Canis lupus familiaris: one gene and its partner. The protein of the gene in region 2 purifies or fractionates together with the protein of the main gene of each other region. This does not show direct contact. Links are inferred from orthologs where the notes say so. Each region holds a gene or a part of one and is shown on either strand. Other genes may lie near its edges.

Evidence for each region.
Region 1: the proteins of DBNL (region 2) and NEURL4 purify together in Homo sapiens (co-immunoprecipitation; 4 studies listed by BioGRID and IntAct, counting the BioPlex papers as one, with this or other methods). This does not show direct contact. The link is inferred for Canis lupus familiaris from reciprocal best matches to the Homo sapiens genes DBNL and NEURL4.

Annotation. Positions count from the first base shown.
Region 1 is NC_049226.1:32,478,130-32,493,797, forward strand, and holds NEURL4 (neuralized-like protein 4), read right to left. Parts: upstream 15,415-15,668; coding exon 15,151-15,414; intron 15,029-15,150; exon of another isoform or gene 14,909-15,028; coding exon of another isoform or gene 14,801-14,908; intron 14,287-14,800; coding exon 13,842-14,286; intron 13,628-13,841; coding exon 13,562-13,627; intron 13,412-13,561; coding exon 13,113-13,411; intron 12,966-13,112; coding exon 12,854-12,965; intron 12,773-12,853; coding exon 12,684-12,772; intron 12,206-12,683; coding exon 12,133-12,205; intron 12,001-12,132; coding exon 11,736-12,000; coding exon of another isoform or gene 11,661-11,735; intron 11,491-11,660; coding exon 11,309-11,490; intron 11,119-11,308; coding exon 11,033-11,118; coding exon of another isoform or gene 11,021-11,032; intron 10,912-11,020; coding exon 10,749-10,911; intron 10,609-10,748; coding exon 10,410-10,608; intron 10,323-10,409; coding exon 10,246-10,322; intron 10,121-10,245; coding exon 10,042-10,120; intron 9,663-10,041; coding exon 9,487-9,662; intron 9,400-9,486; coding exon 9,268-9,399; intron 8,942-9,267; coding exon 8,796-8,941; intron 8,693-8,795; and 26 more. Other genes in the region: EIF5A (eukaryotic translation initiation factor 5A-1), read left to right, coding at 80-211, 298-360; GPS2 (G protein pathway suppressor 2), read right to left, coding at 1,463-1,546, 1,730-1,825, 1,913-1,992, 2,074-2,163, 2,270-2,423, 2,616-2,698, 2,791-2,870, 3,001-3,113 and 2 more. UniProt on the Homo sapiens protein: Promotes CCP110 ubiquitination and proteasome-dependent degradation. By counteracting accumulation of CP110, maintains normal centriolar homeostasis and preventing formation of ectopic microtubular organizing centers.
Region 2 is NC_049237.1:14,466,781-14,482,548, reverse strand, and holds the start of DBNL (drebrin-like protein), read left to right. Parts: upstream 1-5,392; 5' UTR 5,393-5,464; coding exon 5,465-5,547; intron 5,548-9,162; coding exon 9,163-9,218; intron 9,219-10,131; coding exon 10,132-10,244; intron 10,245-10,614; exon of another isoform or gene 10,615-10,715; coding exon 10,716-10,790; exon of another isoform or gene 10,791-11,954; coding exon 11,955-12,101; exon of another isoform or gene 12,102-12,757; coding exon 12,758-12,835; exon of another isoform or gene 12,836-13,082; coding exon 13,083-13,234; exon of another isoform or gene 13,235-13,270; intron 13,271-13,314; coding exon 13,315-13,357; intron 13,358-13,588; coding exon 13,589-13,679; intron 13,680-14,138; coding exon 14,139-14,234; intron 14,235-14,340; coding exon 14,341-14,453; intron 14,454-14,687; coding exon 14,688-14,784; intron 14,785-15,135; coding exon 15,136-15,275; 3' UTR 15,276-15,768. UniProt on the Homo sapiens protein: Adapter protein that binds F-actin and DNM1, and thereby plays a role in receptor-mediated endocytosis.

The DNA of each region.
Region 1 (15,668 bases), on a different chromosome or scaffold from region 2:
GTTTGGTGTGGTCAGTTGGCCGCTCTTTTGTCCCCTACACCCCTGGGCCCACCCTCAGCTCCCTTCTCTCTGCCCCCAGCTGATCGGCATCCAGGATGGGTATCTATCACTGCTCCAGGACAGCGGGGAGGTGCGAGAGGACCTTCGTCTGCCTGAGGGAGATCTCGGCAAGGAGATCGAGCAGAAGTATGACTGTGGAGAAGAGATCTTGGTACATACCCTCTTGCCCCCAGTGCACAGCCCTACTCCATGTCCCTGCCTCTGGCTCACTTCTGACTCTGCCCTTTGTGCCCTCAGATCACGGTGCTGTCCGCCATGACAGAGGAGGCAGCTGTTGCAATCAAGGCCATGGCAAAATAACTGGCTCCCAGGTGACTGACTGACACGCCCCCATCCCCATCAGAACCCTGTTTTAGCCCCTGACAGTTCCTGGCTGGCTTCTGGCTGCGGCCTGGGCCTCACCCTGTCCTGATGGCATCTTCTGGTCTCACTGATCTCTCTCCTCCCCAGGGTGGCGGTGGTGGCAGCAGCGATCCTCAGCCTGCAGAGGCCCCCTCCCCCAGCCTGGCCCAGCTCTGGCCCAGCTCTGGCCCGGCGCTTGGCTGGACTCCTCCTACACAATTTATTTGACGTTTTATTTTGGTTTCCCCCACACCCCCTCAATCTGTCGGGGAGCCCCTGCCCTTCATCCTGCTCTCTCGGCCAGGAGTGAGTGGTCCATGGCCTTGGTGAAGCTGCCCTCCTCTTCTCCCCTCGCACTACAGCCCTGGTCGGGGAGAAGGGGTGGGTGCTGCTTGTGGTTTAGTGGTTTTTTTTTTTTTTTTGGTTTTTTTTTTTTTTTTTTTTTTTTTTTTTTAATTCAGTCTGGAATCAGAAAGCTGTGGATTCTGGCGATTGGTCCTTGTGCCCTCCCCCTCATCCCTGCTCTGGTCCTTGTCCCCATGGCCCTGTACCCCAGCACCACCCCACAGACTGGGGACCAGCCCCCTCCCCTGCCTAAGTCTCTCCTTTATCTGGGGAGGGAAGAGGAGGAGAGGGGAGGGGACCTGCCCCCTCCTCAGGCATCTGGGAGGGCCCTGCCCCCATGGGCTTTACCCTTTCCTGTGGGCTCTCTCCCCGACACATTTGTTAAAATCAAACCTGAATAAAACTACAAGTTTAATATGAAGGCCCCAACTCAGTTGCTTCTTTGAATTAAATGGGTATTTGCTGACTAGAAAGTCAACTTAGAAATTACACATAAACAACTATGCCAAAGAGTTCCCTCTTACCCACCCACCCAGCTTCACCTGTTAGTTGCCTGTCACTCCTCACCCTCCACACAGCCCTGGCCCAGCCCGGGAGGGAGGTGATGCACACAGCAGCAGAGGGGCAGAGGCAGGTAAATTTTATTAGACTGGGACACCAAGTTCCCTCACCCACGTCAGGGGCTGTGGCTGAGGCTGAAGATAAAATCTGATGATCACTTGTGGTAGAATCGTGGATTCTGGCTGTGCTGGATGAAGGGGAGACGAGGGCCAGGCTGGCTGGTGGCTGCGAAGCCCGACTGGTGGCAGAAGTGGGGGGACTTCGTTGGTGTGTACCCTGCCCCTCAATCTACACCCGAACTCCCAGCCATCCCCACCCCAGGAGGAAATGGGAGAGGAGGGGTGGGCGCCGCCTCTCCTACACAATCTGGTTTTCCCCCTGGAAGGGTAGGGCCCCAGCCGGGTCCGACCCCTGGCCTTACCTTTCCTGCTGGCTGCATCTGCACCGGGAGCTGAGGAGAGGCGAGGAGCCCAGGGGCTGGATGCAGAGCCTGTGGGTGCATGGGGCGCAGGGAGGACTACGGAGAAGAGAGTCAGGGTCCGAGGCGGCCTGGGGCACCCCTGGGCCCAGCACTGCCCCTGCCCTGCCCAGGCTCTGTACTCACAGAGTCTGAGAAGCTGGTCTGCTGGTTAGCGTGCTCCATCTGCTTCTGTAAGGACAGGGCACCGCCAGGCTGGAGGAAGCCTACAAAGGGAAGGATGGGTGTGTGGAACGCGGAGGCGGGGAGGACGCTCAGCCCTGGGGCCCTGGCGGGGGCATCCTCACCTGTCTGGGTGGGCTGAAAGTGGCCGTGCACCGTGTAGGGCTGTGGCTGCGGCTGCGACAGGTACTGCACTGCTGGGAACGCCGAAGGTGCTGAGGGAGGCAGGAGGCACAGCCTGTCGAGCCTCCTTCGGGCCTGCCTGGGACCAGCGGCCTCTGGGTCTTGGAGGAAGCGCCCCCCTCCCAACCCACGGCTCACCTCTGAGCTGCTGACTGGGGCTATAGGCCGGCTGCGTGGGTCCGTAGTGAGGCGGGGGCTGCGCGGTCCCATAGGCACTGCCGGGGCTGCCTTGGAACTGGCCATGCTCCGGGGTCCCGGGGAAGGCAGCTGCAGAGCCCACATAGTGTCGCGTCTGAGGAAGGAAGAGGAGCGCTGGCTGCTGCTGGAAACTCCTCCAAAGCAGAACCCCAAGCGCCTTGTATGTGCCCAATTTTCCACCATTTGGTCAAGTGCTGGACAACATTGGTGACTTGAATACTTGTTTAATGCGGGTGCCCGTGTCTGCATGGAAATGGCGGGCTACACACCCAATGCTACTCCTTACTGTAAGCACTTGGGGTCCGAACATCTGTTTGGCCCTGTCAGCCGCCATGAGGGTGCCTGGGCGGTTGTGTCCTCCAGGGCTCCCTAGACAGGGAGACGGGCTTCATGAGGCTGCAGTGGGGTGGCTGCAACCCCCGGGAGGGTGCATTCTAACAAGCGGGTTCTTCATTCCTCACCCTGCATGCTGAGGAGGTGAGTCCCAGTGTGGACGGTCAGGCTCTGCTGGTACGCAGCTGAAGTCAAAGTGGTCAGGTCACTGCAGTGAAAGGCAGGCAGGTCAAAACCAAGAATGAAGACAAGTGCCCCCTCTTTTGCCATCAGACACCCATCTGGTGTTACCCATCCCAGTTACTGTCTCAATTTTATTTTTAGCTCTCCAATCCCACCTCTGCTCCTTTCGCCTCCGTTTCTCTTCTTCATGTAAAACTTTCTTGAGCTGCAGGAAGAGCTGGTGCTTCTCTTCCTGAAGGGCCAACAGCTTCTCCTGCAACTTCAGGATCTGAGAAGGCAGGGGAGAGGAGCTGACGGCAGGAGAGCCAAAGGAGGAAAAAGCTGGGACAGAGCAGGGGGCTGCTTACTTGTTCCTTGGTCTCCTCTAGTGACATTCTCTCCTCCATCTCCTTTTTCTTCCTCCTCTCTTGCTCTTCCTTCATCTTCTGTTCCATCATCTTGTCTACCTCTTCTTCCTCTGGAGAAAGAACCAGGTGCAATGGGAAGAACGCAGGGTGGTTAAAACACTAGGACGTTAGAGATGGAGAAGCGGGGAAACCTGCCGGTGCCAGTGCTCCCTCTGCTCCTCTCCTCCCAGGGGACTGGGAGGGAGGGTATGTCAGGTGCTCTCCAAGGTCCTTCCCGGCCCGAGTCTTCTGGAGCCCGGACCCGGCCTGCAGCTCCCTCCACCAGTGGCGGGCCGTCCCACCCTCCTCCCGCGCGGCCGCGGCGCGGCGCTGTGCCCATGGTGCGGGGCTTGGGGGTCCTCCCCCTCGGCCGGGCTCACCCTGCCGCTTGCGCTCCCGCTCCATCATGATGTGCCGGTGCAACGCCCGGGCCATGGCGTTGGAAAGCTTGGGGCGCTCCAGGAGCGCGGGCATGGTGCCACGGGGGACGCTCGGGCCGTGGGCGCCCGGCTCTGTCACGGACTGCCAGACCTTGGGCCGGGCCTGCCGAGAAGCGGGCGCTTAGGAGGGTCGCGCCCGCGGGCCGAGGCGGAAGCCCGCCTGCCGCCGCCGCCCCGGTCACGTGCCCGGCGCCCACCCTCCGCCGCCCGGCCGGTCCCGGGTGCTCCGGGTGCCCCTGTGCTCCGCGTGCGCCGGCGGGCTGGGGTCTCCGGCCTCGGCGCCGCCCGCCCCTCCCTACCCGCCTTCGCTGCGCTTTCTCCGCGGCTCCTGTGCGCCTCGGCCGCGCGTCACATCCGGCTGCCGGGCCGAGTCCTTCCGGAGCCGGGGCGGCCGGCGGCCTCGCGGGACGGGCGCAGGGAAGGGCGGAAGCGGCTGCGACGGGTGCCGCGGGGGGCCAAACTCCGTCGGCGCGCCGGGCGCCCCCAGCTGGGCAGCCCTGGGGCTCGTCGGGGGGCGGTGCGAGAGGGGGATGAATGAGAAAGAGGCCGAGGCGCGCGCTCTGGGACAGCGTTTATTGGCTCCTTGGAAACCCGCGTCCGTAACAACTGTACAGAGGCCCACCTTCCCCGCGCCCGCCCCCACTCCGCCCGGCGGCCCGGGGAGGCTCCTCGGGATTCACAGTAACAGGAACGAAAACGGAAATAAATTAAGTGATCCGGGGGAGGGAGTCCAGGGAGTCGTGTTCCCCGAGTCAGTGCATGAGGGGAGACTGCCGGCCCCGAGTGGGAGGCGTGGGCCCTGCACGCGGAGATGCGTTCCTGCTCCAGAGATGCGTCGGGCTCTGGGGGCTCCGGGGGCTCGGGGAGCACCCGCCGCGGCAGGGGATGCTAAGCCAGGGCCGGGGGGGCCCCACTGTGCTTGTCGTCCAGAGGCCAGCCCTCACTCCACCCGCACCAGCAGGGCATAGAGGAGTGTGGCCCCCTTCTCCTTGGTTATCCACTCGAGTTCTGCGGGGCTGAAGTGAGGGTCGGGAGGTTCTCGGAGGGTGGCCGAAGGGGGTCCGGGGGTGTAGGAGCCCGGGCGCACGCACACCTGGAACGCCACCTGGGCCTGGTGCGTTCGCTGGGACTTGGGATCCCGGAATCTGCAGGGCAAGAAGAAGGCCAGCCGTGAGGCCTCCAGGCTCCTCCCTCGGCTGCCTGCGGGGGGGGGGGGAGGGGGGGGGTCACTCCCACCTCCCAGAGAGAGGTGGCTTGGCTCTGGCCGCACCCCTGCTTGCTGGGGTCTCTCCAGGGCGCTCCCTGGCTTCCCTCTGCAGGCCTCTGCCCAAACCTAACCTTCGTCGCCATGTCTACCCTGACTACTGTGTGCCTGTACCTGTGCAAAGCACACCTGGGACCCACTGCGTCCCACTCTACTTTTATTTCCACAGTACTAGTCACCTTCAACAGTAAATGTGCTAGAGTGAGACAAGACCCAAGTGTCACAGCGGGGACACCAATGGGAAGCCATGGAGACCCCAGTCCCAGCCCCCATGTACTCACTGCACTTTGGACGCTAGGGTCTCGGCCCCAGCATACTGGAGGGAGGGGGACAGCAAGACGGAAGGGGGCTGCTCCTCCCGGGGTGGGGCGCAGTTCTCGCCAGGCTCCTCAAACCCCACCCCAGGCTTGCCTTTCAAGGGCCGGCAGCTCAGGATGGAGGCGGTGCCTGCGGGGAGAGCCAGTCAGGATGGAGGCGGTGCCTGCAGGGAGAGCCTCCTGGCCCAGGCCTGGCTTGCCCCTTCTCTGCCCCTGCCCCCGGACCTGCTCCCAGCTCTCCTCGGTCTAGCACCCTCCGGATGGCTGCCACGTTGCTCCCGTGATATGCCATGTGCCACTTCTTAGTCATCGTTCCAGCTTCCAGGCGGGGATTCACCCTAGGGTGTAGACCGGGCAGACTGGACAAAGATCCTCCCCTCGACCAGTAAAGGTTCTGTGGCTTCTTCCACGCACCCTCTTGGGAGCCTCCTTCGTCAAGGAAGAAAGAGCACGAAAGCAGACGCATGACCCTGCCCTGCGTGTACCTGAGATTGAACCTGCACCAGCCGAAGGGCAGCGCGTATTCCCGGGGGGGCTCCCCACGGCGCCTGTGGGCCTCGTCACCTCGAAGCTTCCGGCAAGACTCACAGTAGCACAGGCTCCGCTTGGGTGGAGGCATGAAATAGTCCTCTGTGAAAAAGTGAGGAGCAGTGTGGGCGCTACAGCTCCCGCCCTGGGCCTCCAGCACACAGACCCCTTCCTGCTGGTTCCCGGGGCTCTGAGCACAGCCCAGCAATGGTCCAAGGGGTGAGGCAGGCTCTGGATGACCGGGCACTCACCCAGACACTCACCAGGAAGCAACAGCAGTTCTTGGAAGCGGGAGCAGAGGGCGTGGTACTCGCAGCTCTTGAGAGGGCTGGCAGCTGGCAGGGGGCCCCAGCACACACTTTCCTTGATACCTGACAGGACAGAGGGGGGCACGGGTCACGGGAGTTGGGGCGACGGGGTGGGACAGGGCTGGGGAGAGGCCCGGCCCTGTGGGCTGGCTCACCATCCACCATGTCCGCTTTCTCCATGTCCCCTTGGGTTCCAGCACTCTTCCCACTGGCTGCCCCTGGTTCAGGACTCACGATTGTCACCTGCCGGAGAGAGTGTGATGAGTGTGACTGAGCCCCCAGGGCCTGCTAACTGGCTCCCAGATCACAGACTGCCCCACCCCAGGCCCTTGTTGCCGCTCACCTGCTCACACTGCCCATAGAGGTCCACAAGCGCATGGCAGGGCTGGGGGACATCTGATACCGCCACCCCCTGGTCCATCCCATTGACGTGGAGATGCAGGCCCCCAGAGCTGTCTAGCCGCAGCCCCAGGATGGTGCCTTCAGGACACGTGTCCAGATTTGGCCCAAACTTCTCACAAATCTAGGAAGAGAGACCTACTGTCTTCCCAAAGATCAGACTCCCACCGGCAGCAGCCAAGGCTGCCCACTGCCCACTGTAGTCCATATAGCCCTTCACCTACTTGGGACTGCCAATGCCAGGGCTTTGACACCATGCTCGCCCTCTGCCCAGGCTCCACCCCATCTCTCAAATACCTACAGTCTGCTTCCCTTTGTCCTCCCCTACAACATTCTCAATGGCAAGGATGCAGAAAGACACAGGACGCCCCAGAGTTCCGATGATGATGCTCCCGCTCTTGCTCCCCCAACCCCATAGTCTTTCCCTACAGTGCACCTTTATACCTGTGGCCTCACCACCACGGCTGGAGGCCCCACTTCAACCTGTGGGCCAGCCCTGCCCAACGCTGAGTCCTGGCCCTCTCCCCTCCCCCTGCTCCCTACCCACCTTGAGACCATTGTGGAAGATGCCCCGGCCCCGCAGCAGCCAGGCTGCCCGTTTGAGGGCGCAGGCAGAAGCAGGGAAGTTGAGCCTCTCAGGCGGGCAGGTGATGACTCCCAGGACCAGGGAAGATGTCCACTGCCGGTTCAGGAAGTCTATCCGCACCTGGAAGGGAAAGGCGGCCACTCCGGGATCATGGCCCTCTGGGAAGAGGCTCCCCACCCCAGCCAGGGATGGAGGCTGGCACCTCCCGGAGGGGAGCCCTGCAATGTCCCCCCTGCTGAGGCAGGGAGGGACTGCAAACAGCGGGTTCATTTATTTCCTTCCTGTAGCAGGAAGGCCTGCTCCACTGGAAAGCCCTCTCTGCACCCACACGTAGTACCAAGTGTCTTTCTTGGGACCCTGCCAGCCCATCCCCACTGCTTCCCTCACCAGCTACCAGGTGGGCCTTCCACACAGTCCACGCACAAACCCCACCACAGGGTATGAACGAATCACAGCCCATGAAGCTCATCCAAGGGGGCTGCCTCTACCTTGCCCTCAAATGGAAAGGTTTTCTCCAGGAGGGTTGGCCCTGGGTCACCCCACACAGGAAGAGCTGCAGCAGGTTAAGGAGCAAATGCCCACCTGGACTAGGAGCTGGGGCACCAGGGGCTGGTTGATGACAACGATGCCCTGGTTGTAGCTGGCTACGCGTGTGGCCGTACGGTTCCCGTTGGACAAAAGGATATTCTTCCCATGGTTCTCCAGGAACTCCAGTGACGTCGACATCATGGCCACTTGACTCTGACCCTGGCATGGAGCAGAGATGGGCTGCTGGGGTTGTCCATGCGAGGCCCAGCTGCCTCGCCCCACCCTCCGCCTGGCGTTGACACAGAGCTTGCGTCTACGCCTCTGCGACCTGGGGCAGGATCAGAGAACCCCGGAACACCCCGGTGTCCGACGGCCCACTGAGTGGCCATCCACATGCCCTGTGTGCCCCACACAGCCTCTCACTCTCAAGCTGTGCTCCTCCCCATCGTCATCTTCCTCGGCCTCGCTGCCCGTGTCCGAGCTGGGAGATGGAGGCTGGGTGCCCTCGGGCTCCTCCAGCCTTGTGGAGCTGACCACAGACACACTCCGTACCGGCCCGTAGAGATCCAGCACGGCCCACACATTCTGGGGGCAGGAGGTAGATGCAGGAGTTAGACACCCGCAGGGGGCCTCCAGCCTGCACCCCCAAACCCAAGAAACGTCTCAGACCCACCTTGGCAATGCCGGTAGCTGCGGGCCCCATGTCCTCTCCATCCACCAGGATGTGCATCGTGTCATCTGCGCCCCGACGAATGCCCACGCGGCTCCCCACCTAGGATCGAGGTGACACAAGCACAGATGCTCAGCCCCCCACCCCCTCACCCATGTGCCCACCTCCACCCCGTCCCTGGAGCCAACAGTGTCACCCCCAGCCTCTCCAGGCTCCGGCCGTAGTTCATCCTCTGGAGCTGCCCGTCACGCCTCACTTCACAGCTGGACACCATCCAGGTGGTCTTTGTCCGGAGCTCCGGGAGGGAGGGAGGCAGCCCTGGGCCCCCACCTGCGCCAGGCCCCATCTCCCCGGGCGCTAGTGTGGTCAGCCCCAGCCGGAGGGAGCCCGCCCACTTCTCATCCAGTTCCTCTACTTTCACCTGAGGGGGTAAAAGAGAGGGAGAGAGAGCACAGCAGCCGGCACTAGCAGGAGCAGGAGGACAGGAAGCAGCCTGGCCCTGCCACAAGGGCCCCCCCGCGCACCTCAAATACTTCCTCCGTCTTGAGTTCCTTGGTGCTGAAGACCAGGCCATGCGCATAGCCCACCGCACGTACCGCCCTTGTGCCATCCTCCTCCAGGGCCACATTCTTGCCGCAAGTACTGTGGAATCGGTGAGCCACGCCAGCCGCTGCGGAGAAAGGAAGGGGCAGGACTGGGGTCAAGGCTTTCAGGTGAACTGTGAAGCTGCCATTCAGGCCCCGACTGCCATTGCCGTGCGACCTCCGACCCTGGTCACCACAGCCAGCCCCAATCCCCAAGCACATGAGCAGCTTCCAGCACCCTGGCCCAACTCCAGCCTCTTCCTGATGGCTTCCTACCCCAGCTTATTCCCTCCCCTGGGTCTGTAGCTGAGGGGGCTGCCCTGTCCTTGAGCAGCTCCCCGTCCGCTGTCGCCGCATCCCTCCAGCCCCCGGCTTGCAAGCATAGCCCACTCGCCCTCCCCACGCGCTGAACCTGGGGAGTGCAAAGGGAAGGATTTCTCGGTGGCAGTGTTGCTGGTTGCCAAGCTGTTGTCCATGGGGCCGGTGGCATTGGTGATGGACACTTGGACACACTGGCCGTAAAGATCCACTACTGCGTACACCTCTGGATGGAGAAGGAGGGGATCAGAAGCCCGAGAGCCCGGGCTGAGCTGGCATGAGGGTGGCGGGCCAAAAGGCACAGAGCAGTCACCTTTACCCGGAGGCAAGCCTGAGCAGGCGGCGCCTTGGTCCTGGCCGTTGATGAAGTAGTGCAGGTCACCCTTGGCTGTTCGCATCATGCCGATGCGTGCACCCGTGCCCAGGGCGTCCAGGTCACACCCGTAGTTGTTGCGCATCGTGTTCCCGTCTTGCATGATGGCCGTGCCACTGGAGAGAGGACAGAAGGACCGCTGAGCCTCCCGCCTCTTCCCCACACAGGCCTCTGAGCAGTCTCTGATCGTCAGAACCTTCCAGTGCCTTGCATCAGGATCTTCATCTGGGGTCTGAGACCCAATCCTGTCTCCCATACCTCTGGGGACCACCCACAGAGAAAAGCGGGAGCTGCCATAAGAGGAGAAAAGGAAGCTGGGCCACCGTGGGGTGCGTGGTGACATGGGAGCACTTCCCAGAATGGAAAGAAAAGAGCGACCCGATCCCTTGGACCTGTCGTTGTCCAGGGCCACCGAAGGCCCCAAAGCTGGCTTCCCTCATCCTCACTAGCTCCACCTGACCCTGCCAGGCTGGCTGTCCCCACAGGCAGCCTAACCTCAGCATCCATGTGTCGTAGTCAATGTCTGTCATGGTGTTGGGGAATTCGAGGTCTTCCGGCCGAATGGCAGTCACTCCTAGGAGGTAGCAGCAGGGGGTCAGAACCAAGGCTCCAGCAACGGGCAGCCAGCACCATCCCCAGCACACAGAGTCTGTCACACACGTGCATGCACGCATGCAGAAATGCACAGGTGCCCCTTACCAGCCTCAATGGAGCCTGACCAGCGGTCCACCATCTTCTGAATAACGATTTCAAACAGCTCTCCGTCCCGCAGGGCCCTGCCAGAGACAGCGGCAATCAGGCCCCAGTTGGGTGGCCAAGGCTGGGCGGCGGGAGGCTGGGGCCGTGACAGCGCCAACACTGACCGGTTGGAGATGACGATGGCGTCATTGAACTCGCTGCGGCAGTTGTGCCGGAGTGCGGTGCGGCCCCCGTTGGTGATGACTGCATTACTGCCGTGCAGCTGATGGAAGCGCAGGTCAGAGCCCCCGGCCCCTGATGATGGGGAGCTGGGAGACACCTGGTTGTTCCCTTCAGAGAGGGGCTCAGGGGCCGGGGGCACCTCTGTGAGAGTGGTCATCACCCGTTAGGCTTCCAGTGGTCTCCGAGGCCCCCCAGCCACCCCCCAGCTCCTACCAGGCCTGGGCGGTAGCCACCCCAGGCCACCCCAGCACCCCCCAGCTCCTACCCATCCCAGCCCTCACCCACGTCATCCACAATGGTAGCTTGGGCTGCCTGGCCATAGAGGTCCACAACAGCGTAGACGCCAGGGGGCACATTCCAGGCCGCAGGGCCCTGGGTCATCCCGTTGACGAAGAAGTGCAGGGTCCCGTCCTCCCGCCGCACCACGCCCACAGTGTCCCCTGCCTTGGAAGAAGGGGGGCTGGAGTGAGGAGTCAGGCAGAGTTCCCGCCTGGGCTAGTCCTATAGCAGCCCCGATGGGCCTGCCCCCCATCACCAGGCCTGGGCGGCACACCTGCTCCCCCACCTTGAGGCGGTCCAGATTGTGCCCATACTCGTCCAAAATGGTCGTTCCGTTGTGCATCACCCCATTCCCGGTCATCATCCAGGTCCCTAGGAGAACGAGGAAACACAGAGCACATAAGTGAGCCCCGGGCCCCCTGCCCTTCACAGCCCCCACGGCACTCCTCGCCCCCGTGGCAGGCCGCCGCAGCAAAACAAGAACAAGCCAGCTCCGTGGGGGCTGTGGGGGCAGCTTCCCCCTTAGGACCTGATCCTGGCCCCGCCCTCCTTGGGAGCTCACCAGAGCGCAAGTTGGTCATGGTGGAGGGCAACTGGAGGTAGGCAGGGTTGTGGGTGGTGACACCAATCTCAATGGAGCCAGCCCACTTGTCCACCATCTTGTCGATGCGCACCTGAAACACCTCTCCGTCCCGCAGGGCTCTGCTACTCAGCACCACGCCATGGTTGAAGTCATCTGTGGCACTGAGGGCACAGCGAATGCGTAACTGAGCACACCAAAGCTTAGCCCGCCAGTGCCCACCTCACACCTGTGGTGCTGAGCCACGTGGCTGAACTTCACTCTCCAGGAGGCACCCCCCCATACTATCAAGAACTCCCCAGGTCAGAAGCCACACACCCCCCCCCACGCCTGCCTCCTGCTTCTCCACCCCTCCTCCGATCCTGTTAGAGTCCCTGCAGCAGGCTTCTCCCCACACCATGGGCCATACTGGGGCCTCAGGGCAGTGCGTCCCTCGTGGGTGATAGCTGCCTTCTGCCCGCAGTTAGGGTGGAAGAGCAGGCGCTCGGGCTCTGCCTGGGTGGCAGGAGTGGCGCGACGCAGGGCGCCCTCGGGGGACAGTGCCCGCAGGATGGCATTGTTTCGACGCAGCCGGTCGCTGTGGTTGTTATTGTGGACGATGGTCACCTTCACAGCCATCCCGTACAAGTCCACCACGCCGTACACCACTGGGGGTGTCAGTGGGGTAGCCACGCCTGCCGGGGAGAAGGCAGAGAGGGAAGGAATATGGGGAGACCAGCATCAGGGAGACACAGGACGGTGAGGTACAGACCCCTGCCCAACACCGAAAGCCCTAGCCCAATGGCCTGCCTCAGGTATCTCCTTACCCTGATCAATGCCATTGATAAAGAAGTGCAGGGCTGAGTTGGACTTCCTTGTGAGACCAATGTGGTCGCCCTCCTAGTCAGAGCAGAAAAACAAAGATCTGGAATCCGCCTCCAATCAGGCTCTGGCCCAGGCCGCAGGGGAACAGCCCCAAAGGCACCTGAGTCTTGAGCCCCTGAACCCTCCCTCACAGCAAGTCTGGCACAGGGTGAAGCCACCTCATACACAGCACCTTAGCCACCTCTCCAAGCAATTCATGAGCTCATCTCAGGCGTGGAGAAGAAAAGAAAAAAAGAAACCCATACCAAACATAGTGAGCAAGCTTCTTGACTGTAGTCATGACCCCACACGACCCCTCAGAAAAAAAGAAAACCTCTGGCTCTGAAATCTGAGTGCCTAACTACCAGGCAACCGTGCCTTCTCAGAAGGAACCTCTCGGAGAAAGATCAGAAGCCTTGTTCCAGGTCACAGCGGAGACTGGGGTGCCCGGGCAGGGGTGCTGGGTAACAAGGCTGCCCCAGAGCGCGGCCCAGACTGCACGCCCACCCCTTACCTGCAGCTCATCCAGGCTGAATTCACAGTACTCCCGGCGGGTGCCCTTGCCATTGGTCAGGATCCCACAGCCGCTCATCATGATGGTGCCTGTGGGAAGGCAGACGCCCGGCATCAGGCCAGGCCTTCCTTCACCATGGGAAGGTGTCCCCGCCCCGCCAGGGCTGGTACCTGACTGTAAATTGGTCATGGTGGCAGGGTACTCCAGGTTGTTGGGGTTGTGGGTGGTGACACCAATCTCAATGGAGCCCGACCACTTGTCTACGAGCTTGTCAATGCGGATCTTGGGGGGAGCGACAGCAGGAGGGAGAGGAGGGCATGTCAATGTGGAGAGAGGACCCTCGGCCCCACCCTTCCAATGTCAGGGATCGAGCCCCATTTTTGGTTCCCAGAGGGTGAGGTACCAGCCAGGGCCCAGGACCTCACACACCTCAAACATCTCATTGTCCCGGAGAGGGCGGTTGGTCATGACAACCCCGTTGTTGAATTCGTCCAGGGGCCGGCGGCGCTCAGCTGTCTTATTGTTGTTGCTGAGTTTGATGAGAGTCCCACACTTCTCGTGAAAGAGCAGGGCGTCGTTGGAGGTGAGGATGGGCGAGGTGGCAGCCCCGCCAGACCCCAGTCCTTCCCCTGCCGGTGGGGAGCTCAGGTTCACATTTAGGAGCCCCCCGTTGTAGGCAGAAAGGATGGCGTTGCCCACCACCTCAGAGAGCTCCATGCTGGCAAAGTCTAGGCGGCAGGACAGGGGAGGGAAGCCGGAATGAGGCTCTACACGTTCAGGCCCTCCACTCTCCCCCTAATCCTCTCCTGAGGGCCCCCTCCCCTCACCTTCCGCCTCACTTCCCATTCCCCTTCCCAAAGCCTCCAGGGTGCCCTCACCATTATGCGACTCAAGGCTGTTAGGAAACGTCTCCGGCCGGGGCTGCGCTGGGGACACCATGAAGGCTGGGGACCAGGCGGGGTGGGAGGGGAATGAGGGTCCAGCCCCTGCTGCGGGGCCCACAACCAGGACACCCCTCCTGTAGCCCCTGCTTCCCCTTCAGCAGACTGGGGTCTGAGTGGCCCTACCCGAACCCAGACTCCATGGTCACTAGTCACCCATGCCTTCTGCCACTCCCCCTGCCCCGCCTCTTCCCCTCGGCCCTGGCTGGGTTCTCACCTTCATCCCCAGAGGTCGCCTGTTCAGTCAAGGTGGAATCTTCAGGGGGTGCAGAGGGCTCGAGGGGAGGTGTGGGGATGGGAGCAGGGGGGCTGAAACCTGGCTCGGGGGGCAGCACGGTGATCTGGGTGCACTTGCCGTAAAGGTCCACCACGGCCCAGACCCGGGCGGGGAGGCCCGTGGCGGCAACACCACAGTCCCGCCCATTCACCCAGAGCCGCAGCTCCCCAGCAACTGTGCGCTCCACGCCCACACGGTCCCCTTCACCAAGCTGGTCCAGGTCCTGACCATACTCCTCCAGCACAGAGCGTCCATCCCTCAACACCGAGCAGCCTGACACTACCCATGAGCCCCCCTTCAGCCCTGTGGCGCTGCTTGGGAAGTCCAGAACACTGGGGTCTAGGGCCGTCACCCCAATCTCAATGGAGCCACTCCAGGAGTTGACCTGTGATAAGGGTGGTGGACAGAGGCTCAGGATGGGCTACCGTGGGTCCCCAACCACTAGGAAACCACATTTCACAAACCACGTGTCCCCCTCTCTCCACACCCCTAACAGCTAACTGGCTTTTCTCTATTGAGACCCAAGACACGACTCTAGAGAGGTGGTCCTGTGAGCAATCATCTGGACTGTCTCAGGGACTGCTGGGCCCGCTGTACCCCAGCAACTCTGCCCCCACTCTGGGATCTGTCCCCAACACCACCATGCCCTGGCTGCAGCCCCCCTGGCTTCCAGCATCCAAGTTCCCGGCTCTCCATGCCCATCCTCCTAGCTCCTGTCTACCACCCTCCTCCCCCCTCCCAATTCCCCCCACCCCCGACCTCATTTTCTCCAGGGCTCCTGCTCCACTCAGATTCCCTCTCTTCCCAAGTTCCATCTGTGTGCACCTGGCCTCTTCTCCGAGGGGCACACAAGCAGGCACACCTCCCCTCGGCCCCCCTGAGGGTCTCTCCTCACCCACCTCTTCGCCCCAGCTGATCCTCCAACGGCCGGTCCTTCCCCGGCTTCTCTCCTGCGCTCCTACCACATCCCCGACATCCCTCCATCTTTTCACCTCCCCAGAAACCATCCCGGGAGATCTGGACCCTAACCACCCCTGGGGTGGCAGCGTCCCGTGTCCGTTCCCTGCTCCGGGGTCTCGAGCAATCTAAAGCTCTCGCCGTCCCTCTCCCCTTCCCCGCCCGCCGCCTGGTGCCGCGACGGTGTGTCGGTTCGCTCTCGGCAGCCGGCGGCGGAGGCCAGCCCGGCCGTCCCGCCCCGCGTCTCCCGCTCGCCCCCTCCCGCCTCCCTCCCGCGGGCCCCGCTCCGCACCTTGCGGTCGATGCGGACGGTGAAGACGCGTCCATCGCGCAAGGGCTCCCGGCTCAACACCAGCCCGTGGTTAAACTCCTGGCCCGGCTGCTGCCGCCGCGCGGTACGCCCGCAGGCCGACAGGCTCACCAGGCGCCCGGTGCGGGGGTGCAACTCCCCGCCGGACCCCGGCCCTGCGCCGCTCCCGCCGGGGCCCCCACCCCCGCCAGGCCCCGGCCCGGGGCCACCCCCGGAGCCCCCGCTCCCACCCGACCCCGCCGCCATCGCCGCTGACACCGGGGCCGCGCGACAGCCGCGCTTGGCGGCACCGTGGCAACCGCGACGCACAGACACCCAGAGGGAACGGGATTCCGCGCTGGGGCCGGGTATGCTTTACGGCACTGCCGGGCGAGGAAGCATCCCGGGCTAGGGAACTAGTAACCCACCACGGTGGGAACGGAGGACGACGGGGTCGGGCAGGCTTGCTTTACGGCACGGCGGGGTGACGGCGAGGCTCTCAAAGGCGTGTGGGCTAGGAC
Region 2 (15,768 bases):
CACTGTGCTGCCTGCAGCTCCTGTGTCACCCATGCTCAGACACGTGTTTCCAAGGCAAGTCCTAGGTTAGCAACTGGACAGCAGATCCAAAAACCCACCTGGGGGTATGATGTGTGTGCTCAGTCAGATAACTATTGACCCCGACCACAGGTATCTGGGTTTGCTGGATGGTGCTGAGATCTGGTCCTTTGTCAGGCTCTGGGAAGACCCGGGAGTTCCAAGAATGTGGCACAGGGTCAAAATATCCTGACAAGGGATCAAAATGCTGGGATGCACATGTCCAGCAGTCTTAGCAGCTCACAGCTGAGCATGATGTCAATGCCATGGATTCCACACCACCTCACTGCAAATGCCCGAGGATGGGCAGGCTTCTGTCTTTGCAAGTCAAGACTGAGTCTCTTCGGGGGCCAGAAAACAGCAAGGGGCACCTGGGGGGGGGGGCTCAGTGGGTGAGGCGTCTGCCTTCGGCTCAGGTCACGATCTCAGGGTCCTGGGATCTGGTTCCACGTCAGGCTCCCTGCTCAGTGGGGAATCTGCTTCTCCCTCTGTAGTTCCCTGCCATTCCCCCTGCTTGCACTCCCTCTCTTCTCTCTCTGTCTCTCTCTCTCTCTCTCTGTGTGTCAAATGAATAAATAAAATCTTTAAAAAGAAGGAGGGGGCAGAGACGTGCTTGGGGGACTGGTCTGCAGATCTCTCTGCCTGAGGTCTGTCCCTCGTACCCAGGGAGAGGTGGTGCTGAGAAAGAGCCTCGAGGTCACCATGGGCCCTCACCACCCCCTCCTTGTCCTCTGCCTCTGTTCTCCACTGGCCATTCTCACTGTGACACATGCTTCCTCCCCAGCAGTGCTGAGTAAAGGCTGGTCCTGTGACAAATGGAGGATATGGCTGCCATTCCCTGGGACAGCAGCCTAGTGCCAGGTGGTGCTGCCTGCTGGTGACAGAAGTACCTATCATTCTTCTTGGCCAGTCTGCTGGCCTCGTCATCCCCATCACACCAGTTTCTCTCTGTTGACAGATTTTATCAGTCACAAAACCAAACAGCTATAGAGAATCCATAAAAACTATCAGACCAGACAGCAATTTCTTGAGTTCACTGAAAAATGTCTCCTTCCGTCCCTACCCTCCCTGCTTGTCCCAGGCCCCCTCTCAACGCCCCGCAGAGAGGCCCACAGACTATCTGCAACAGGCCTTCTTCCAAATGCAGGGGCTGGGCCGGGCTCCGCTTTGGGGGGCAATGATAGAGCTGGCCCCTCGGAGCCTGCCTTTCACCTCCGCTGCCCCCGCCTGCCCCCTGCCCCCCCATAATGGTGCCTGGGGCTGCTCATAGGAGCAGGTTGTCACTGCTGGCTAGCCCTCCTAATCACTTCCTAATGCTATCAAGGCTTTAGGCAAGCATTGATTCCATGATTACAGTGTGCAAGCTGTGGAAGGAAGGGAAAGAGAATTAGAAAAAGAAAGCATGCTGTGTGCCTTCTGGTAGCCCACTGAGGAGGCCACAGGGTGGAGAAGCATGGACAGGGAGGAAGACTCCACAGGCAGAGGGAGCAGCTCTGCCCACACTAGGCCCCGGAGGGCTCACAGCACATTCTGGTTGCTGGCATGGCACTTGGGGACGCTCTCTCACATGGCTGTTCCCAAACTGGGGCCCTGGGGCCGTCAGGGAGCCACAGGGAGCATTGAGGTAAATGGAGTCAGGGAAGCATCACTGAGGACTGGCAAGATGAATATGGGTGTTCCTGGGAAGTGAACGGCACAATTCACGTAAGCTAGCTTGTGACCATTTCACACCCTGGACCCCTAGGGAAACAGTCACTGTCATCGGAGCATAGACCTCTCAGTAGCACAAACACAGGCACCAGCTGCCTCCGTCCCTCTATTCATGTGAAGAAATGAAAGAAGTGCCCTCTGGGGCTTGGACCAGCCTTGCCTCTGAGTTTGTTCTCAGGAATAATCGCAGCCTGGCCAGAGCACAGGAAAGCCAGGAATGACCAGAGGCCAAAGGGCCCACCAGCTCCCAAAGCCAGGATGGGGATGGAGGCATGGCTGCTGGGGTGGCTGTGGGGCTGCGCGAGCCTGAGACACTCACAGCAAGCATGGCCTCTGTAAACAGTTGGGGTGTCAGGAGAGCAATCCTCCTGCTGCAGGAGGATGCTTTGTCCTTGCCATGGGCCACCCCTCAGAGCCGAGACTTTAATGCCCTGCAGGTACCCCCCTGCCCCAGGGCCAGAGTCCCCAGCCAGGGTCAGGAAGGCAGCTCGCCCACCTCCCTGCCATTGACTTCTTACTCTCCGCTTACATCATCATAGGGACTCCACTAGGAAGGTGGCGGTGTAGTTTTAATCAGGTATTTGTTTACTGGGTTCCACTTACCATGTAGTGTAAGGTTTTCTGTTTAGGACAGGAAGAGCAATTGTCCCACTTCTCTAACTCTGTAGGAGTGCAGCCATGTGTTGCTGGAGCGGAAAGATGTCATCCCGGTGGCTAACAGAAAATGTTTTTTCTGCTAATGGACACTCCTTTTGATGAAGGCTTTGCATCAGCAGCAATCCCCACTTAATGGTTGCAATGACCTGAATGACTGTGTCCCCCGAAATTTCAACACTGAAATCCCAGTCCCTGAAGTGATGATACTAGGAGCTGGGACTTTTAGGTCAGAAGGGTGGAGCCCTCGTGAAGGAGATTTTTTTTTCCATGAGGGGGATTAGTGCCCTTTTGAACGAGACCCCACAGAGCCCCCTCACCCCCTTCCACCAGGTGAGGACTCCACGAAAGACAGGCATCTATTAACTAGAGAGCAGGCTCTCACCAGACACCGAAACTACTAGCCCTTTCATCTTGGCCTTCTCGCCTCCAGTCCTGTGAAAACTAAATTTCCATTGTTTACTGTGGTGCTCTGTGAGAGGAGCCCACATGGACGCAAACACTGTGCTTGTCAGGGTTTTTTCTTGTTTTGATTCAGTACATTGTTTCTATGAAAACTGTGTATACACAGTGTTACTATATGTCTCACAAGGGGATAATGTATATTTTTTAACTGAACTATCCTTCATCTAGAGTGTGATATTGGTTTCAGGTGTACAACACAGTGATTGGACAATTCTGTGCATTACTCAATGCTCACCACGAGTTACCGCACAAAGTGACCACACACATTATTGACGATATTCCCTCTGCTGTACTTTTCATCCCCGTGACATTCACGACTGGCAGTTTGTACCCCTTCCTATCCTTCACCTGTTTAATCGCCCACCCCTCCACCCCTTTCCCTCTGGCAACCACCAGTCTGTTCTCTATTTCTGAGTCTGTCTCTGTTTTGTTTTGTTGGTTGGTTCATTCTCCTAAATTCCACATATGAGCAAAATCATATTATTTGTCTTTCTCTGTCTGACTCACTGACCCTCTAGGTCTATCCGTGGTGTTGCAAATCACAGGATTTCCTTCTTTTTTTATGACTGAGCAGTAGTGGTCTGTTTCTTCACGCTGTTAGTTCTATCTACATGGCAGGCGCCAAAGGGAGTCTGTTGGCAAGATCCTCCCTCCACACTTGGCCTGGATGCCTTTAGGACATGGTCAGCTGCCTTAGAGTGCAGAGGACACTGGCTCTGGCTCCGGTTTTGTGCCCAAGATCTGCCATCTGAACCCACCAGGAGTAAAGCAGCTGTGTGTGCACCCACGTGCAAGAAGAACACGTGGACCCTCATTGGAGAGTAGGGAATCAGTTAAGGAGAAGACAGAGGAGTCTGGGGTGACCTCTGGGGACATCTCACATTCTCAAACTGAGTAGCTGACCAAAAAGAGTGATAGGTTGAGGAAACAGGAACATAGACAAGCCACACTTGGAGGATCAAGCATGGAAGCATCTACAGAGCAACCAGAGGGACCCCTTTAAAATATCACCAGATCACAATGCTCTCTAATTAGAGCCCCCTTCTCCCTGGGATTCTATTATACCTGGAATAAAATGCAAAGTCCTTTCCTGACTTACAGGGTCCCCTGGGACCCAGCTTCCCTCCTCTCCCTCTCCCTGTTCTCCATCATCAGCCCATCATTAGACTGGCTCCCCCGCACCTCAGAGCCCCGACACATCTTGTTCCCTCCGCCCAAAGCACTTCTTCCTGGATCTTCCACAGCCATGCTCCCCACCCCATAGCCAGTCTCTGCTCCAGGTTTACCTGTCCAGAGAGACCTCTTCTGGCCTGTTAGGTGGAAACAAGCTCCCACATCCTGGAGCAGAAAGCAAAACCCTGGTGCCCCCACCCTCCCACACCAGGGACCCCACTAAGAGCCTTCTCTACATGGAGCCTGGGTCTCCCTGCTTTTCCCTCACCATCGTGGATGCACCTGCTTACCACACCCAGCTCATCTATTTCCAGAACCAAGAGACCTGTCTCTTCGGCCTGCACAGCCTGATTCAGGCAATGTGGGTTCTCCCCAAGTTGGCTAATATGTTGACCTCCCAGGGGTCCAGGGTCCCTAGGCTGGGGCCTGGCAGCCAGGGGAACTAAGCAACTGGTAACTAGGCAGTGATTAAATAGAGACCAGTTCCAGAGAAAGAAGAAAAAAAACAAAGATGCACTGGAGCCAAAAAAGAAGAAGACTGAACAGTAAGGCCGAGGGCTGAACGTCCCTGGATTTGGAGCCGCGGGAGCGGCTGGGAAGGAGCAGAAAGTCACCTGAAGGGGTCCTGAGGGAAAAACTAGAACAGAGGACGAGTTAGCGAAGAATAAACAAATGAAAGATGGGGGGAGCTGGGAGGCCTGCAATTCCTGGAGAAGGGGGAGACCCGGCTCCTGCAGGAGGGCAGACCCAGGGCGGACTGCGGGCGGGAGGGGCTGCAGGCGGCAGGGCCTGAAGGGTGCAGGGTTCCCGGCCCCCACTGTCCGTCAGTCGAACGTCAAGGGCGCACAGAGCCCGTGACCCACGCGCCCAGATGGCGGTGACAGGCCCGCGTCTGCACAGCTGGACGCCGACACCCCGACCTCGGCAGGTCCTGCCCGGAGGCGCCCCGAGGCTCCGCTTCGCTGATTGATCTCGCAAGAAACGGGGGCGCGCTGGCCTGCGGGGTCCTGGGCGGTCCTGCGTGGGGGCCCCCGGGGCGCACCGGGCAGCCTGGGGCCAGGGCGCGGGCCTGCGGGGAGGGGCGGGGGGGAGGCTCAGAGGCCCAGGAAGCCGTGGCCCGCACGCGGCGCTCGTTCCCGCCGGTGCCCCCGGTGCGCGCGCGCCTCGTTCACGGAGCGAGGGCCTGGGGTGCTGAGCCGCGTTCCCAGGCCGCGGCGCCCACTGCGACAGCACTAGGCAAACTCGCGGCGGGCCGCGCCGCGCTCCTCGGCTCAGCCTACCCGGAGCGCCGGGCCCCGCCCACTCCCCTAGGGCCGTTCCACCCTGCTTCCGCTTCCGGTCGCGGGGGTAGGCGGGGCCCGGAAGCGGCGGCGGTGGCGGTAGCGAGGGGAGCGCGGGGCCGGCGATGGCTGCGAACCTGAGCCGGAACGGGCCGGCGCTGCAGGAGGCCTACGTGAGGGTGGTCACCGAGAAGTCCCCGACTGACTGGTGGGCCCCGGGGGGGTTGGGGGGGCCCGGGGGCCGCAGGTGAGCCGCCGCACCGCGGTCCCGCCGTCCGCTGGGTGGGGGTGGGGGCCCCCGCCGCGCCCCGGCCCCGGCCCCGCCGCGCCCCGGCCGCGCTCCCCGCCGGGGGCCCCGCCCAGGACACCCCCGCACCGAGGGGCTCTGCGCAGCCCTCCGCGAGGGATGGAAGCCGCGCCGGGCCGCCCGGGAGCTCAGGGGTGTGCGTGGGGCTCCGGGTTTCCGGGCCTGTGGGCTTCAGTCTCCCTCCTTCCAGAACAGCCCTTCCGGCGTGAGCCCTGCGCGGCCGCCCCGTCCCCCGTATACCCCGGCGCCCTCCCGGGCGGTCGGTGTGCGGTGGCCCTGGGCGGCTGTGGGTCCTGCAGGCCCCGCTGGCTGCGCGGGGCCCTCCGCTGCGTTCCCGGTGGCCTTCAGTTTCGCTGACCAGTTGTGAGCATTTCCTAAGAAAGACGCTGAGTGTGATGACCAAGGGTGACCGGCTGTGAAGGAGCGTCTTCCCGGGGCAGGGGCAGGTCCCTCTCAGGGTGGCAGAGCCGCGGAGCCCTGCAGCCAGCACCGAGGCCTGGGGACACGCGCTCGCCGCAGCACCGGCTAGCTGGGTCTACGGACACAGGGGACCCCGGGGGGGCCTTCTGCGCGGTGTTGCCGGGGAGCCAGCAGCTCGTGGGGAACACGTTGGGAAGGGCTTCAGTGCCGCCTCCTTCCCACGATGCTGTAGGGAGTTCGCGCACACATCAGGCTCTCATTTTTCTATGAGTTTCCAAGTGTCACCACCCTCACCCCCGTCCTGCCTCTCCCATTCTCAGAGAACCCTGCTGTTCCTCCAAACCACCATACCGCCGCGCTGGGTGCCCCATTTCACATCCACGTGAGGCCACCTGACTTTGGAACCTGGGAGTGTTGTTTGTCCCTCTCCAGTCCCGCTCGCTTAGGGTGTTGCTGTTTCACGTCCCCTTTCTTGTCCAGCATAGCCATTGCTAACTTACCTGACGGAGTCCTAGGCCTCCTACTGCCTTCCTTCGGGAGTCTTCACTCTTAGGGACCATCACTGGTTTGGGGAGGAGGTCCCACAGCCCAGTGGGCAGTCCAGGCCTCCCACGTTTCTAGCTATTCCTTGGGCTGCGTCTCACAGCTATCTGCTGCCACCCTACCTTCCCTTTGTCCCCTCGCCCAGTCAGAGCCCCCCACCTCCATCTGACCAGCCAGCCTCCTGCAGCACTGCAGGTCATACACGCAGTGGCACAGACCCTGGCTTCCCTCATCATTATCACAGCCTTAAACATCCCAACAGAGAATGTGTGGCCTGTCCCCACTTATCCACTGAACAAGTATATAGACAGGTTACTGCTTGAATTTCAGTGGCTTCCTCTTTCACGTGGAATAAAGCTCAGACCTCTTGCCTGGGCTCCTAGGTGCTGTGTGGCCAGCTCCTGACCCCTCTGGCCACCCCTCCCACTTACCACACTGGGGCCACACCTGTTTGCCACCACCGTGGCCTTCTTTCTCTTCCTCAAACTTGTGAGCTGCTTCCTCCTCAGAGCCCTCTCACTCTTGCTGCTTCCCCATTCTAGAGCACCCTTCCACATCACCCTGGGGGTCTCCCCACACTGCCTTCTTGGAGAGGCCTTACTTGACTCCTGGCGCCCTGTGCGACTTTCCCTAGATACATGCCAGACGCTGCTCTCCTCGCCACAGGCTGGGCCCTCTCTGTCCCCAGCGCAAGGCTGCTGTGTGCCCTCAGGGCTCGCATGGACAGTGACCTAGAGGGGTACAGAACATGGGGCAGAGGATACCAGCAAGACAAGGTGGGCTCTGGCTTGGTGGGTGCAGAGCAGGTTATGCCGGTTGGGGGCCTGAAGCTAGGGAGGGTGGGGAACAAGCGCATATCAGCTCTGCATCACAGGTCTTTGCTTTGGTTCCCGAGGTTGTTCTAGACTGAGGCATGTGAGTTTACCTCCTGCACCTACTTTGCTGCCTGACAGGGTGTTAGTCTGGATGGGTTTCTTTTTTGTCTCCTGTTAGAAAGTAAGCTTCATGGTCCCGGCCTGTTGGGGTTTATTGGAAGCCTCATGCCAGGGACCAGCAAGCGGTAGGTTCTCAGTACGTGTTTTAGGAAGGGTTGCTTGCGTTACCAGGTGCTTGGTGCACCATGCTCCGTGTGCTGTGCCCAGGTGAGCACACCACTTGTCCACGGTGATTTGAAAGATGGACGGAAGTCTGTTGAATGTGGGAATGAACCTCTGAGCCAGTAGCATTCCAGAAAGTGGGTTAGGCTGGAGCCCAGAGTGGAGGGGAGTGAAGATAGAGGGCAGGCAGCAGGCATGGGCCCCTTGGAAGTAGGAAGTATCTCTGCTCCCTGCAGCTTGTCCAGCGTCCCCATCTTCTGCAGCCAGGGCTGGGTGGCTTCGAGATATACAGGCTTCTTTCCTCCAGCAGGAAGGCTGGCCAGGACTCCGGCCCCCAGAGTCTGGACGTCCAGCACCTCCCATATTTTTTCCCTGTTGGCGTGTTCCTTCTAGTGTGTGTCTCCTCCTCGGAGGCCTGTCCCCCTGCCAGGCAGACCGGCTAGGCCTGGGGCTCCTTTCTTCCCACTTTCTGACACTCGGAGCTCTGCCTGGTGGCCTTAGCAAGGCCTTGGGGATGCTGAGTGGAGGCTGATTTCATTCCTATCAGATTCTTTTTTTTTTAAGGTTTTATTTTTAAGTGATATCTACACCCAACATGGGGCATAAAGCCACAACCCGAGATCAAGCGTCGCACGCTCCACCAACAGAGCCAACCAGGCGTCCCGGTTCCTATCACGCTCTTTACCCCGTGGCCCCTGTCTGGCCGGCCTGGGCAGGCCTGTGCTCAGAGCATGGGGGGATGACCCGCTAGTCCAGGTTCTGCCTCTGACCTGCTGTCTGCTGGGTCAGCACCCCACCCCCTCCACCCTCCGTCTGCCAGCGCCACCTGGAGCTGAACTGCGGCTATTGATGGTTGGGTCCTGTGTGGACTGTGGATAAGCCACCTCTTCCAGAAAGTTTTCCATGGGTCACCTCTGTGCTGGTCAAGCAACTTTCCATGCCCTAGACGTAATAAAATTTGCTGTATTTCCTGAACACCTCGGGCCCGGTTCATAGGCATGAATCTTTCCCAGAGTTCTTAGGTGCAGCCCAGGGTCACCTGTGAAGACTTAAGGCTCCTCCAGAAAGAGTTTTCCCAACCATGAAGTCTGTCCCATGAGGAGACTGACTTCGTGCTGAGTCATGGCCCATATGGCTTCTGGGTTTTCCAGGAGAGTCCCAAGCCCAGAGAGACCTGCTGCACCAACTCCTCAGGCTTTCGGGAGGCAGAGCACACAGGCACCAGGCTGTGGTGTTGGGTGTGTGTTGGGCTGCCTTCCCAGATGTCCAGTGTGCGCACTCCCATTTCCTGCCTCACCTGCTGGGGTGCTTTGGTTCCGGAAGGCATGGGAATTCTCTGTCTTCTCCAGTTCTCGTACCTGGGAGGCCCGTGGGGTCTGGTGGGGCCCATGTGGCTGTCACGCTCAGCTCCTGGCAGGTGTGGCAAAGGCCACAGAGCTTGTTTGTTTTGTTTCAGGGCTCTCTTTACCTATGAGGGTAACAGCAATGACATCCGTGTGGCTGGCACAGGGGGTGAGTATGTCCCAGTGAAGGCGGCGGGGGGCGGGTTGTACGCATTGGTGCTCCCTGGCAGCCTTGGCCATCACAGCTAATGCAAGGAGACTGCAGGCACAGAGGTGTCCCAGCACGTGGCGAGGCTGCTAGGACCGCTCCCCACCACAGTGTCGGTGTTGGAGCTACATGCAGCTCTGTTACTCAGCGAGTGCTCACCAGTACCTCCTCCACTGGCTGCTCAGTGGTTCTGACTGGGCTAGAAAACCTGCCTCTCACTCCCTGCTGGTCATCTGCTTAGAAGGAGGTCTCAGGCCCCTGTGTTTCTTGCCAGCACCCCAGGGGTACTCACAGGGCTCTGCTGTGAGAGCCCAGGGTAGGGGCTCAGCACTGCCCCAAGCCCGTAGGGGCCCTCCAGCTACATTACTCGATCCAGCTCCTTATAGCCTGGGTGGGTTTGGGGGTGCTGATAAGAACAGCTGAAGAGGGCCCACTCCTGTGCGCCCATCACTCCCTTATCTTTACGTGGAGGGTCTGAGAGCTGAGCCTGAGCACAACTGCAGACTGGTCCCATCTGCTCAGGGCCCTTTGTGGGGTCCAGGCAGCAGGAAGATGGTTGCAGAGACCCTCTGTTTGGAAGCTTCATGCCCACTTTGTTGCATGACTGTCAACATTTGTTGCATTTTTGTTTCTGAAGCTGTCTGGGTTTTATACTAATGGTTTTTAGGTTGGCATGTGGAACATCTCACCTGAGGTGCTTGTTACAGACACAGATCCTGTGCAGCAACTTAGTGGGGGCAGGATGAGGAGTCTGATTCTGCAGGCAGCACTGAGCCCTGGTTCCGAGGCAGATTGGATTTCCTCTCCTGGGGGGCACTGTGCCAGGGCAGGCAGCAGGTGTGGGACCCTCTGACCCTCCCTGTGCCCACTGCAGAGGGGGGCCTGGAGGAGATGGTGGAGGAGCTCAACAGCGGGAAGGTGATGTACGCCTTCTGCAGGGTGAAGGACCCCAACTCTGGCCTGCCCAAGTTTGTCCTCATCAACTGGGTATGTGGAACCCGGGGGCCTCTGAGTTCTCATCCAGGCGTGACCCCGAAAAGCTCCCTTTCCTGCTTTCCTCCTTTGCCTTCCGTGGTGGGAGCGGAGGAGGACCTGTCTTTGGGGCAGCTCAGAGGTGGTGGATGAAGTCCTTGTGCCCCAGACGACAGCGGGAGCACTGCTAGCCCAGAACCACTCCCACAACCAGCAGTACAGTTCAGGACACCCACACATTTGTCCCCTTCAGGGGGTCGTCCTGAGGGAGCGAAGGGCCTGGGGAGACCAGGAGGTTCTGAGGCAACCCCCCACCCCCACCAGTGGAAGCTGGCAGTCATCCTGCACTCAAGAACCTCCTTGACTTGAAGGATGTGGGGCTTACCGTATGGTCTGCTGTAGGGTCACAGTTGTCCCTCTGCTGGGTCCCTAGGGAGGCAGGGCGGTGGGAAGTTGGCAGGTCACGCCGGGTGTGTCATGTTGCAGACAGGCGAAGGTGTGAACGATGTGCGGAAGGGAGCGTGCGCCAACCACGTCAGCACCATGGCCAGCTTTCTGAAGGTGAGGGCTGCACCCTGAAGGCCTCACACAGGTCTCCAGGCTCCTGCGATCTTGGGCGGGCGTGAGCGCGAATCACAGCCAGAACCGGAAGTGGGTCCCACTCCCCGATGCTCTCTTTGGACTTGAGGACATGAGCAGAGGCTGCTGCGCTCCTGCTTGGCCAGCACCCAGAGGGCCATGCTGTGGCCAGAGCGACCAGCAAGCTGGTGTTAGCAGCGGGGAGGAACAGGCGATTGTCCTTTTCAAGCACAGGGAAGGCCAATCTGGAGCGAGGTCTTGGGTTCCGTTGGTTTTGTGAGGGTTTATTCAGCCGTGTTGTCAGGATTTGGAGGAGCAGGAAGGGTGCAGGTGCCCAGCCCCCTCAGCGGGCACATTTCCCTGTACCCTGTTTGTAGCCAACCTACGTGTGTATTTACATCAGTCCTCGCAGCGGAACCTCGTTTAGTTCCAGAAGCCTTTGTTGTTTGCTTGTCAGATAACCTGCATTTCTTTGGTTACTGGCAGAAAGATCTAGGACTTTGATTTCTAGTCTGCTGACGCTTTTTCAGACATGCCTCAGTTTCTCCATCTGGGAGCTGAAAGAGGATCCCAAGCTGTTGGATGTTTACCAGCAGGGAGTGAGGTCATGGGTCTGACTTCTCAATAAGAAATTGGTGCCTGAAAAAAAAAAAAAGAAAAGAAAAGAAATTGGTGCCTGGGGCGCCCAGCTGGCTCCGTGTGAGGAGTGAGCGACTCTCGATCTCAGGGTCCTGAGTTCAAGTCCCAGGTTGAGTGTAGAGATTACTTGAATAAATAAGACAAAAAAAAAAAAAAAGGAAGAAGAAATAAGTGGTTTGCTCTTTGCAGAAATTGCATTTCCAGATCCTTTTTTAAGTTGGCTTTTCGTTAATTTGTTGATTTCGTTAATCAGGACTATTTCCTGCCTGGGCCTCCAGCAGCGAACACACAGCCCTGGGGAATCAGCTTGGGAAGGGGCAAGGTGCTGGGGTGAGAACAGGCTCTCTGCCTCAAGGTAGTTTGTCGGTCTTGTGGAGAGCGTGCCTAGGGCCCCAGCAGGGTCTCCTGACCTCGAACCCCAGGCAGCAGTTGTCTGCGCTCTGCAGACTTGGGGCTGCGTCCTGTCCTCTCCTGGAGCTGCAACACCTAGGTGCTGTCCTGCTGCAGGGGGCGCATGTAACCATCAACGCGAGGGCTGAGGAGGACGTGGAGCCTGAGTGCATCATGCAGAAAGTGGCCAGGGCCTCAGGAGCCAACTATGCCTTCCACAAGGAGAGTGGTCGTTTCCAGGACATAGGCCCTCAGGCCCCAGTGGTGAGTGCTGCCCAGGGCCAAGCGTGTCTTATCCCTCAAGGGCTTCCGGTCCTGGAGGCAGATCTAGGTGCAGATGGTGAGCCTAGGCCAGAGAGAAGCCGGAGCTGCCTCCTAGTAGGCAGGTGCTAGTGGGCGTGAGGAGCAGCCCTCTACCCTGCCTGCTGGTTCCACTGGCTATTCTGGAGCCTCTTACACCTGTTTTGTGTGGTCAGAGGCTCTGCAGGACAGTCCAGCCTGTCCTGAACGGCCCTGGATGGTGGGCACCATGGGGGAGCTTTAAGTGCTGGATGGTCAGGCCCCTTCCAGCTGTGGGTAGACACCAGACATCCTGGTTATGGGGAGCCCAGTTCCCCGAAGCAGCGCTGCAGTCTGTGGAGTCTCCCTGGACACTGGCACGGTGACCAGCTGTCTGAGGCTAGTGGACCAGCTCCTAGAAGCAGCCAGCCTCAGAACCTCCTTGGCTTCTATCCATTGGGGCCTAGTGCAGCCAAAAACCCCCTTGGCATTGCCCAGTGGTTCCTGGGGCCTTCAGGCCATCTTGGTGAAGAGGCCCCGGGCCAGGTGTCACTGCCACTGCTAGGCACGGTCCCCACAACTATTGTTCACGTTCTGTGCTCCCGCAGACGGTCCTGTAGCGGATCCTCTGTCGTCCACAGGGCTCTGTGTACCAGAAGACCAACGCCATCTCTGAGATCAAAAGGGTCGGCAAAGACAGCTTCTGGGCCAAAGCAGAGGTGAGTGCTGTGCGGGTGCGTCGAGCACAGCCAGCCCTCAAGGAGATCATGCGTGCCAGGTGTCAGGGTGTCTTCCTTGCCGTCCCTGTGTTTCTCATGATAAAGAACACGTGTCCTCATTAGTGGCTGCGCTTGAGCACGCTTCTGCACAGGCCACACTTGCATGGGGTGGGGGGGCAGGAAGGGAGGCTCGCCTGCTTGCTGTGCAACTGCTGAGTGGGGCAGGCGGGGTCGGCTCTCCCTGCAGAAGGAGGAGGAGAATCGCAGGCTGGAAGAGAAGCGGCGGGCAGAGGAGGAGCGGCAGCGACTGGAGCAGGAGCGCCGGGAACGGGAGCTGCGGGAGGCAGCCCTCCGGGAGCAGCGCTATCAAGAGGCACAGGCCAGTGAGGGACCCCAGAGGTGAGGCCCCAGAGGGAGGGCAGAGGGAGGGTCTCACATGGGCTGCAGCTGGGCTGCAGCACCTCCCTCTGCTCCCCCAGCAGGAGTGAGCAGCAGGAAGTGGCTTCAAGGAACATAGAGCAGGTGAGATGTGGGTGCTCCCACCCTGAGGGGTCCCTGATATGCCGGGGCCCCAGCCCAGCAGGCCTAGGGAGGGGGCCGCTGAGAAGGTCCTGCAGCCAGCTGGGACCTGTGGGTACACAGGAGGTGGCAGTGGAGAGTGAAGGGCAGAAGCGGCCAGTGTGGACGAGGCCCGTGAGCCCCTCCCACATATCCGGGACCCCTCACCGCTGGGTCCACATGCACTCCCCACAGGAGCCGGTCAGTCAGCCAGCACACCCGCGGGAGATCTTTAAGCAGAAGGAGAGGGCCATGTCCACCACTTCTATCTCCAGCCCCCAGCCAGGTGAGTCTTCCCTCTGCACCTCACCGTGAGGTGGGGGCAGGCCGAGCGAGAGCCTAGGATCCCAGTGTGGGGCCCCCAGAGGTAGTGACACGTCAGACAGGCAAGTGAGCAAGGAGAGCTTGCACTCCTTAGAGTGGCTTCTGGAGGGGAGCCTGGGCCTCAGGTGTCCCTTTCCTGCCCATAGCCTCATCCTGCAGAGACCTGGAAAGCAAGGGCCATGTGTGGCTTCAGAGGGGAGACCCTCCAGCCCGGCCCTATTAACCCGTGGTGCAGCACGCACAACGCAGGACCACACTGCTGCCCTCTCCCACGCTGTGCCCTGGGTGTCTGAGGTGTGCACGCCGCTGGCGCTTCAGCTGCTGTGTGCCCCCCCATCCTCCTGTGCGACAGCCATTGTCCCACTGCAGGATGCAGATCTTCTCCTCCTCCAGTGCAGGTGCATTTACCTTTGGTTTGCAGGGAAGCTGCGGAGCCCCTTCCTGCAGAAACAGCTCACCCAGCCAGAGACCCATCGCAGCCCGGAGCCCACCCAGGCCTCCTCCAGGCCCAGGGCAGGCAAGGCATTTGGCCGCCCCTGGGGGGCTGGGGATGGGAAGTGGGAGGGAGGAAGGGTGTGCGATCCCCTTCCCGGGCTCAGAGTGGGCTGCATCCTCCTGTGCAGATATCCATGAGGAGCCCGTGTCCAGCGGTCCGCCATGTGTGGTGCAGGCGGAAGAGGAGGCTGTGTACGAGGAGCCCCCGGAGCAGGAGACTCTCTATGAGGAGCCCCCAGTGGTGAGTTCCCCACAGCAGGGCCTGGCTGTGAAGGGGTCACGTACCCAGAAATGCTCTCTCAGCCACGCTAGTCACGGGATGCCTGACTTTTCAGTAGCTCCCTACATGCGGATTATCTCGTGTAACTTGGGGCAGTCCCTTGCAGTACTGTGGGAGGTCATGGGGGGTGGGCAGCAGCAGCCAGTGAGCCTGTAACTAGGACCCCAGATTTCCCTTCTCTCCTTCGGGGGGCAGGTGCTGCAGCAGGATGCCGGTTCTGAGCATGTGGACTCCTACCCGGGGCTGCGCGGGAAGGGGCTGTGTGCCCGGGCCCTGTACGACTACCAGGCAGGTAACGTGCTGCGGTCAAGGGACCGCTACACTGTCAAGGGACAGGCTTCAGAGGCTCCTTCAGGGCGATAGAAAGGGGAGGGGAGGATGGGGTGGACGGCCCGCACAGCCCAGGCCTCCCCCTGGTGCTCTGGGCAGCCACCCAGCATGTGTTGGCGTGAATCCCAGGTGCCAGCATTGTGCTAGAGCCTGCAAGTGCAAGTGACCAGAGAGGTGGGTGACCTGGACACGGGGCCCCCAGTGGTCCTGGGTGGAGCCTCAGGAAACAGGCTGCTCGTGTGGAAGTGGGGGGCCCCAGGGGTAGTGGCCGGCACCCGACCACCAGCCCCAGTGCAGACTCCCCTTCCCACAGCCGACGACACTGAGATCTCCTTTGACCCCGAGAACCTCATCACAGGCATCGAGGTGATCGATGAGGGCTGGTGGCGTGGCTACGGGCCAGATGGCCACTTTGGCATGTTTCCTGCCAACTACGTGGAGCTCATTGAGTGAGGACCCTCCACTGCTGGCTGCAGCAAGGCCGTCCTTCCTTTCCCCACCCAGATGTGCTTTCCTTACTTCTGGGAGAGGTGGCGTGCCCGGCACAAGAGCCACACCGTGCTCCTCCAGGAATGGGACCCCCCCCCCCCCCGCCGCCAAACAAGACAAGCCCTTGGGCTCCCTCAGACTTGGGTGCTCAGCCTCTTGTCACCCTAGATGCAGCAATATCCTGTGATTCCCACACTTGGTCTCGCAGCTCCCAGGCTCTCCCAGCCTGGCCTTTGACCCCACAGAGGACATGGAGCCACACCCTGCCCATGGCCAGCCCTTCCGTGGCCTCTGCCTGAGGGGGACAGCACTGCCACGCCGGGCGGTCTGCGCAGGGGTATTTGCCTTTTCCTTTTCCTGGCTCTAAAGGGTGCTGACTACAGCTGTTAGCGAGGCTCAGCTTCAGTGAACTGAGAGTTTAGGACCAAAGTCTCAGTGGGTCGTGACAGTTTGGGCA